2 linked regions of the Canis lupus familiaris genome follow. The protein of the gene in region 1 interacts with the protein of each later gene in a pairwise test. Links are inferred from orthologs where the notes say so. Each region holds a gene or a part of one and is shown in the gene's direction. Other genes may lie near its edges. The genes, in order: KCNA3 and CAV1.

Region 1 (4,404 bases):
GTGGAGTTGCTAAAATGTCTAGAAACAAATTGCGTTCAAGATGACCACAACAGTTTGAAGAAACAGTTAAGGTTGAAAGGGCATGAAGTTGTTATCTGTAGGCCCAAATCCAGCAACGGAGATGCGGGCTGCTGGCTGGACGGTCTCCCAGCTTCACAGCCAGAGCGCGGCCAACCCTACCTCTAGGCCGGCAGCAGGCCCTGAAGTCGGGGGTCCTCCCAGGACGGACTTCGCGGGGGAGGTGAATATCCCCTCTCATTTTCCTCATAGGTTCCCACCGACAGGAAACCTGGCGCTTGGGAAAAGACCCGGCTGCTGTCGCCAACCCCAGCCAGAAACTTGGCCCTCGATTGCTCCCGACGGCTAGAGTCCGCGAGAACTGTTCGCTCCAGGAGCGAAGTCCCGAGGGCCTCTACTGACCCAGCGTCCCCAGCCCCCAGGTGCGAGACTCCTGAGCGCCCCTGAGTCCGTGGGCTTCTCGGGGACACGGGAGCCACTCCGCTTAGAGCGCTCCGGGCGGCGGCCTGTAGCCGCGGGGGTCTCAGGGTGCGGGCAGGGGGCTGGCCTCCGCCCCAGGGCGCCCACCTGGCCTTTCCCGCCCTCCCTCCCGGCCCGCAGCGCATCCCCATCCCCTCCTCGCCCGCCCCGACCCGCTGACACCCGCGCCCCGGCCGCGCCCCGGGGGTGCCTGCAGGGCGAGGAGGCCGCCGCTCGCTGGGTGCGGGGCGACGGTGGCGGGGACACAAGCCCGGCGCTGGGCCGTGGCTTCGCGGGTCCCGGGGCGGGGGGCTGGCCAGGGGCTGGTGGGGCCCGGGGGCCGGTTCCCCGGAAGCAGCCTCGGCCGGGCGGGGGTTCGCGGAGGACGCGGCGGTGCGCAGCGGGGCCGTGGGGCCGCCGGAGGGGCGAGGCGGCGGGCGGCTAGGGCCCGGGCAGCGAAGGGGGCGCGGGGGAGCGGGGCGCGCGGCCGCGCGGTGGGCGGGCACCTGGAGGGGCCGCGAGGGGCCGCGGGGCTTAGGCGGGCGCAGCGGCCCCGGGAGGGGAGTGAGGGGAGGGGCAGGGCGCGGAGATGGGGAGGGGAAGGGGAGGGGAGGGAGGGGGGGGGAGGGGGGAGGGAGGGGGGGGAGGGGGGAGGGAGGGGGCGGGAGGAGGGGAGGGGAGGGGGAGGGCATGGAGAGTCGGGAGGGAGGTCGGCGGAGAGGGGCGGCACTGCCGTCCCCTTCGGGAGCCAGGCGCACCTCGCGGGCCCCCCGGAGCCAGGCGGGGCGGCGCGGCGGCAACAGGCGCGGGGCTCGCGGGGCGGGGCGGCGGCGCGCGGGGGGGGCGCGCGAGGAGGAGCCGCCCGGCCCGCGGCGCCGCCGGTCCCGCCGCATGGACGAGCTCCCCGGCCCCGGCCGCCCGCGCGCCCTCCCTGCGCAGCGCCCCGCGAGCGGCGGCCCCGCCGAGCGCGCCATGACGGTGGTGCCCGGCGAGCACCTGCCGGAGCCCGAGGCGGCCGACGGCGCGGGGGGCCCGGCCCCGGGCGGCTGGGAGCGGGAGCGGGAGCGCTACGAGCCGCTGCCGCCCGCGCCGCCGGCCGCCGGGGAGCAGGGCTGCTGCGGGGAGCGCGTGGTCATCAACATCTCGGGGCTGCGCTTCGAGACGCAGCTCAAGACCCTGGGCCAGTTCCCCGAGACGCTGCTGGGCGACCCCGGGCGGCGCGTGCGGTACTTCGACCCGCTCCGCAACGAGTACTTCTTCGACCGCAACCGGCCCAGCTTCGACGCCATCCTCTACTACTACCAGTCGGGCGGCCGCATCCGCCGGCCGGTGAACGTGCCCATCGACGTCTTCTCCGAGGAGATCCGCTTCTACCAGCTGGGCGAGGAGGCCATGGAGAAGTTCCGCGAGGACGAGGGCTTCCTGCGCGAGGAGGAGCGGCCCCTGCCGCGCCGCGCCCTGCAGCGCCAGGTGTGGCTGCTCTTCGAGTACCCCGAGAGCTCCGGGCCGGCGCGCGGCATCGCTATCGTGTCGGTGCTCGTCATCCTCGTGTCCATCGTCATCTTCTGCCTGGAGACGCTGCCTGAGTTCCGCGACGACAAGGACTACGCGGCGGCGGCGCAGGAGCAGCCCGAGGCGGCGCGCAACGGCACGTCGGGCCCCCCCGCCGCCGCCGGCTTCGCGGACCCCTTCTTCGTGGTGGAGACCCTGTGCATCATCTGGTTCTCCTTCGAGCTGCTCGTGCGCTTCTTCGCCTGCCCCAGCAAAGCCACCTTCTCGCGGAACATCATGAACCTGATAGACATCGTGGCCATCATCCCCTACTTCATCACCCTGGGCACCGAACTGGCCGAGCGACAGGGCAACGGACAGCAGGCCATGTCCCTGGCCATCCTGCGGGTCATCCGGCTGGTGCGGGTCTTCCGCATCTTCAAGCTCTCCCGGCACTCCAAGGGGCTGCAGATCCTGGGCCAGACACTCAAGGCGTCCATGCGGGAGCTGGGGCTGCTCATCTTCTTCCTCTTCATTGGGGTCATCCTCTTCTCCAGCGCCGTCTACTTTGCCGAGGCAGACGACCCCACCTCGGGGTTTAGCAGCATCCCGGATGCCTTCTGGTGGGCAGTGGTGACCATGACGACAGTAGGTTACGGCGACATGCACCCGGTGACCATAGGGGGCAAGATCGTGGGGTCGCTCTGCGCCATCGCTGGTGTCCTGACCATCGCTCTGCCGGTGCCCGTGATCGTTTCCAACTTCAATTACTTCTACCACCGGGAGACGGAGGGGGAAGAGCAAGCCCAGTACATGCACGTGGGAAGTTGCCAGCACCTCTCCTCTTCGGCCGAGGAGCTCCGAAAAGCAAGGAGTAACTCGACTCTGAGTAAGTCGGACTACATGGTGATCGAAGAGGGGGGCATGAACCATAGCGCTTTCCCCCAGACTCCCTTCAAAACGGGCAATTCCACTGCCACCTGCACCACGAACAATAATCCCAACTCCTGTGTCAACATCAAAAAGATATTTACTGACGTTTAATATATGCTACGAGTGACATGCTGTGCTCAAGTACTGCGTGGACCGTGCCCCCTTGGTCTGTGTATGCCCTCGTTTTATACATTTCCAGACCACTCATCAAAGAAAGGACATGAAGAAGTGGAAAGCACACTTCATTTTCCCTCGCCCTACTGCTTCATACTGAAACAGGTGTCTGTGTTGCAAGTGGGCTGCATTCTCTCAGCTCTCCATTTTTTCCTCCCCCTCCCTCGAATATTGCAAAGAACAAACTTACTTTAAACTTGATTTCTAGTACACATCCTCTAAAAAAAAAAAAAAAAAACTGTACATCCTGGGAGGAAACGAAACTAAAGAACAGTTAGAGTAACTGCCTAACCTCGGAATTGAAAGACAGTTGTTCTTTACTAAGTAAAGCAGGCACATGCATAAAGGATGCTTCCGTTTGCTGGACCTTTGAACATTATTGAATCTTTAGTTCAGTTGCCTATGCTGTGGATACTTGGATGAGAAGTCTGATTAGGGCAATGACTTGTAAACCCACCGTAAGGGTATTTGGTTTTTGACTGGAAGTTCTATTCGAACCCCTTCCTGGAATCTTAAAGATTTCTACAACTGTGAACAAAGGGAAGTGCCCAAGGTGTCCCGATCTAATTAGTTGAACTCTCTGGGGCTTGTTCAGCATTTCAAAAGAGATGGACAGGCAGATTCCTGTGATGTTCCGTGTGTGTGTGTGTGTGTGTGTGTGTGTGTGTTCCCGGCAACATCTATCAAAGTGTGGAAACACATGTTTTCAGTGCCGCTGAGAGAAACAAAATTTCTAATGCGCCTGCGAGATAAGCTTCTGCAGTATCACAAGAAGATTAAAGTGGCAGACACTCCTTCCAGCGGAAGTTACTAATTCGGACCTGACTGATGCAGTTCCCATAGCAACCCATGTTTCCTGGGAAACCCGAAAAAGGTTGTCATGGCATCTCTTGCTTTCTAGCCCCACCCCCTAGCCCCTGCCGTTTCCACAATAACCTTTCCAGATGGTTCCTCCTTACGGGATTTCATAAGGAAAACCACTATTTGGATAAACCGCACAAATAAAGTTATGCCTGAAAATCTGAGGTGGTGAAATGAATCACAAAATGCATATTTTTTTTACTACAGAAAATCATTGACATCATCTCATAATGACTGAATCGGAAAGGAAAATATTGCCTTTGGGATGTTAGATCTATACTACAATAAGGCATGATTTGAATTAAATGCCAATAATTAGGCAATAATTTAAAAGGATACTGTTTTCTTCCTCCAAGAAGTTTCAAGCTAACAAGTGAAATTTAAAAGCAAATGTAAAAGTGTTCTGTACATAAGCAGATGAAAGAGTCAATCAGTGTACCTGAAACCTTACTACAAGGGACCTTCAGA
Region 2 (4,595 bases), on another chromosome or scaffold:
CTGGAACCTCTGGATCGAGTCCCACATCGGGCTCCCTGCATGGAGCCTGCTTCTCCCTCTGCCTGTGTCTCTGCCTCTCTCTCTCTCTCTCTCTCTCTATGTCTATCATAAATAAATAAATTTTAAAAAAAAGAATTTAAAGGTTGTATTGCTTTTTACCACCAACAATAGCCTGTCCTTTATAGTTCTTTTACAGTTCCATATATTCTAACTAGATAATCAATTCCAAGGGTCCCATCCTCTATTACCCGTTCTCCTCCTCCTTTTGTGCCTCCGCCTTTATGGACAGACCACCAAAATGTTTCCTGTAACCTGTGCCCCTTCAGATAGATTGTCAGATTTTCTATTTCAAGTCCTGATTTTACTTTTTTTAAATTTTTAAAATCATTTTTCTAATTTTACTTTTTTAATTATTACTTTTTATTTTTTTAAAAAAAGATTTTACTTATTTATTAATGAGAGACACAGAGAGAGAGAAAAGCAGAGGCACAGGCAGAGGGAGAAGCAGGCTCCATGCAGGGAGCCTGATGCAGGGCTTGATCCTGGGTCTCCAGGGTCAGGCCCTGGGCTGAAGGCGGCGCTAAACCGCTGAGCCACCCGGGCCGCCCCTCTAGTTCTCCTTCTGATTGCATATGGAGCCACAGGCCAAAAGACAGTGAACTTCTTGACTTCTCCATAGCCCAGATGTAAAACTACTGCTTATTGTTCCATTCACCTTAGGCGTACGCTTTATAAAAAGATAGCAGCCGCACATTCAGGAATAGAGAAAACATTTGCAAATAACTGCTAACGATTTGTTAAACTTCAGATCGGTTCCTAGAAGAACCGGGTCTCCTCTAACGCACGGGCAAGTGCATTAGAAAAAAAAAAAAAATAGAAAAAAAAATTAGAAAAAGTGCAAAGAAAAAGTCCTCTATGACAAACTTGAAGCTCCCACTAAATATTCCTACAACTGTAAATATTTTTACGTCTTTTGGAAATGTGGCACAACGTGTGGGCATAAGTTTCCAGAAAGTTCCAGAAAGATGGGCGAAGCCTGCCATTCTCGTTTGCTTCAGAGGGTTGGGGGGCAGGGCAGGGGGGGCTTTCAGAAGCGGCGGGGAAACTGGAGTTCCGCGTGTCTGTGTGTCCTGTCCGGGGCCGCCAGGTGTGAGCCGGCGCGTCGCCACCTGCACCGCGCGCGCACGTGTGCTTGCTCGCCGTCGGGGGCGCATCGTGCCCAAAAGTCCTGCGCCCTTTTTCGTCCCTTTCCTCCCGGTGACAGTGGGGGAGAGCTGGGCGGGCGGGGATGGGGGCGGGGAGGCGGCTTCTCCGCGGGCAGATGCGCGGGGAGGAGCGCGGGGAGGAGCGCGACGCCCCGCGCCAACCCCGCGCCCCCGCAGGACGCCGCCGCGAGCCCCCCGGGGACGTGCGCCCCAGGTCTAGGCCACCCCCGCGGGGCGCTCCCCGCGCGCTCCCCGCCCCGCGCCGCCGAACCCCGGGGATGTGCCCGGACCCGGCGCGCAGGTCCCGGCCGGGCGCTCGCGGCAAGCCCCGGGCCCGCGGCCAGCAGGCTCCCTCCCAGCCGCCGCCCCCCGCCTGCGCCTCCCCGCCCCCCCCCCCCCCCCCCCTGCACAATACAAGATCTTCCTTCCTCGGTTCCCTTGAATAACAGCCCAGGGAAACCTCGGAGCCTTCACCCAGCCACCGGCCAGCATGTCTGGGGGCAAATACGTAGACTCCGAGGTAGGCTCGCGGGGTGCGCGCGGGGAGCCCCCGGGGCGCCCCCACCCCCACCCCACCCCCACCCCACCCCCCGCGGTCGGCCGCCGGGCGCTCCCCCGGCGCGGGCACCTCCGAGGAATGGGCCTGGGCGGGGAGCTGAAGAGGGGGCAGGAATGTCGTCCAGGCTGCTCTTCGGAAAGGGGGGCCGGCGGGCCCTAAACCAGAGGGAGGCTGAAAGTGGGGGCGGGGGGCGCCCCGGGGTCCCGAGATGGGGACCAGAGCACGCTCCTGGGTCGTGGGCGGGCCCGGGGCGCTGCTTTAGGTCGGGACCCGCACGGCCCAGCCCCTGCGCGCTGGGGGGCTGCGATCGGGGACGCGGGGTGCGCCGCCATCCCCCCGCGATCCGGGGGACCGTCCCCGCCGCTCCGCCAGGCGCCTGGACCGGCTGGCACCGCCCGAAGCCCTCGGGCCGCCTCAAGAACCCTTCCAGCATCGCGGCGCCCGGCGGGGTGTTTGCAGAGGGGGGACCTGCCCTCCCCTCCCCTCCCCTCCTGTCCCTGCCCGCCCTCCCCTCCCAGTGCCACCCCTCGTCCGCGCGGGGATCTCGCTCCCCAAACTCGCCCTCCGCCCCGCGCCCCGCCGGCGGCCTAGGAGGGACCTGCGGGAGGTCGGGGAGGTCGGGGGCGCCGGGCAGGTGCGAGGTCGCGGTTCGGGGCGGTCTGCAGGGGGGCGGGGGGCGCTGCTCCCGACACGGGCGCTTTCGGGACGCTGAGCCCCGCGGGGGCGGGGGGCGCGGAGAGTGCGGCGAGCCAGCAGGTGTCGGGGAGGTGCGGCAGAAAGGGGCAGAAAGGGGGCCCCTCCGGGGGGTCCCGGGGGCTCCAGCGGGCCCGAGGGAGACGCCGGAGAGCTTCTGGAGAGCAGGGTGGGGGAGGGGCGCCCCGCAGCCGGGGACGGGTCCCCGCGGTCGCTGGGGGGCGCGCGGGGCGGGCGCGGGCGGGGGCGGCGCGGGTGCGCGCTGACCCCTGGCGGCGGGCGGCGGAGGCCGGGGCTCCCCGCGGGCACCGAGGGGTGTGGTGTCCTCGCCTCCATCCTCTTAAGCGCCGGCGGCGCCCGAGCGGCCAGTTGGCGGGCGACCTCCAGGGCCGCCGCACCGCTCGTTTTCCTTTTTGACATTTCCTTTTTGACATTTCCTTTTTCTGGCATTGCCTTTTTTGACATTTTCTTCCCATCTCCGCCCCCCCCTCCCGCACCCCGCCGTCCCCCCCCCACCCCGCGCAGGGGCACCTCTACACCGTTCCCATCCGGGAGCAGGGCAACATCTACAAGCCCAACAACAAGGCCATGGCGGAGGAGATGAGCGAGAAGCAGGTGTACGACGCGCACACCAAGGAAATCGACCTGGTCAACCGCGACCCCAAGCATCTCAACGACGACGTGGTCAAGGTAGGGGAGGCGGCCCCGCCCGCCCCGGGGCGCTCCGAGCATCCTCCGCTACCTGGGCCCGCGCGCGCTGCCTCCTGCGCTTGAGGACGCGGGGCCCCGCAGTCCCCCCACCTTGCCCTCCCCCATCACCCCGCCGGCTAGTTCGGCTGGAATCTCGCTGACTGCCCTCCTCCTAGAACCCCACTTCTCCCCGGCCAACACACCTCCAGATCTCCGCGACAGGTTGGCCCGCGCTCCTTGGGCGAGTGAGGCGCTTGGCCCTGCGGGGCACCCTCTTGCCTGTTCCCAGGCTTAAACTCTAGCGAAGGGGGGCGCCCTATTGCACCTAGAATTAAAGCAAGTAAGGTCACTGTGTAAGTTCTTTGTGGCTCGATGATCTATGGGATACCGAGTGGGCAGGTTGTCCCAGCTCAAATCAGGGTAACCTCAAGTTATTTTCTTAACTATAATAAGGTGGGTAAAAATGCTTCAGATTGATATATTATATATCACATATATGGAGAGAGAGCATCTTAACTGGAGGGGGAAAAAGTGGTACTCGTGCACGACCAAGCTAATTTCCACAACCAAAAATAATGAGCGCCTCTGGATTTCTCCCATAGACACCCCTAGCTAGGTATATAAAGTCACTTCTTTAGTGACTGCCTGGGTCAGGCTTCCCCGAGTTAATGAGACACTCAGGCTGGAGTTCCTTTTTATATTTTCAGAATGTGTTTGGTGATTTTTTTAAAAAAAAATAATAAGGCATCTGAATGAGCTATTGGCCAAACTTAGATTTGAGTCAGTGATCAATTTTTGATTATCATTATATTATTCAACTTTGACCCTCTTAGCAAATTAAGTCAGGGAAATTTATTGTCCGAATCCATCTGGATTGGGAAATCATGGGCTTGAGCCATTCTTGGCAGAGGGTTTTCTTTGAGGAGTGGGGAGGGCCAAGGAAAATCCTGGCCTGGAAGATTATAGCGTGAAGACCCAGTTCTGCACAACTCCAGAACAGCCAATGGGGCAGATGAGCAATTTCCACCTACCCAGTCTCCTATCTGGGGCTGGGAAGAGCCATAGTTCAGAGACTATGCACATTTATGAATAATTTATTTCAAAAAGGGAAACAATTTAACCTGTAACGGGAAGGAAAATGTAACTGTCAGAATTGACTCTCTTGGCTTGCTGGTAGAGGAAAAAGGAAAATTGGAGCATTAGTAGGTTTTTCTACTAGCCAGATTATGAAATATTTAAAAGCAGCAGCAATAAAAAAAAAAAGTAGCTTATAAACTTGAAATTAGAATTGCTAAAAACGATTTACTAAAAGCGTCACCTTAAAGAGAGGGAAAGACATTTTTGCTTTTTCTCCTTCTCATGTAGCTTTGGACAAGAAGAAGAGATGCCAGGAAAAGAGGCAGATTTCAGAAAGGGCTGGCTTCATTGGAGCCTCCCTGTTGTTCCAC

The links.
Region 2: the proteins of KCNA3 (region 1) and CAV1 come close enough for resonance energy transfer, tested with the Homo sapiens proteins (2 studies listed by BioGRID). The link is inferred for Canis lupus familiaris from reciprocal best matches to the Homo sapiens genes KCNA3 and CAV1.

What each region holds. Positions count from the first base shown.
Region 1 is NC_049227.1:41,799,946-41,804,349, forward strand, and holds the start of KCNA3 (potassium voltage-gated channel subfamily A member 3), read left to right. Parts: upstream 1-1,449; coding exon 1,450-3,012; 3' UTR 3,013-4,404.
Region 2 is NC_049235.1:55,588,833-55,593,427, forward strand, and holds the start of CAV1 (caveolin-1), read left to right. Parts: upstream 1-1,695; coding exon 1,696-1,725; intron 1,726-2,982; coding exon 2,983-3,147; intron 3,148-4,595. UniProt on the Homo sapiens protein: May act as a scaffolding protein within caveolar membranes. Forms a stable heterooligomeric complex with CAV2 that targets to lipid rafts and drives caveolae formation. Mediates the recruitment of CAVIN proteins (CAVIN1/2/3/4) to the caveolae.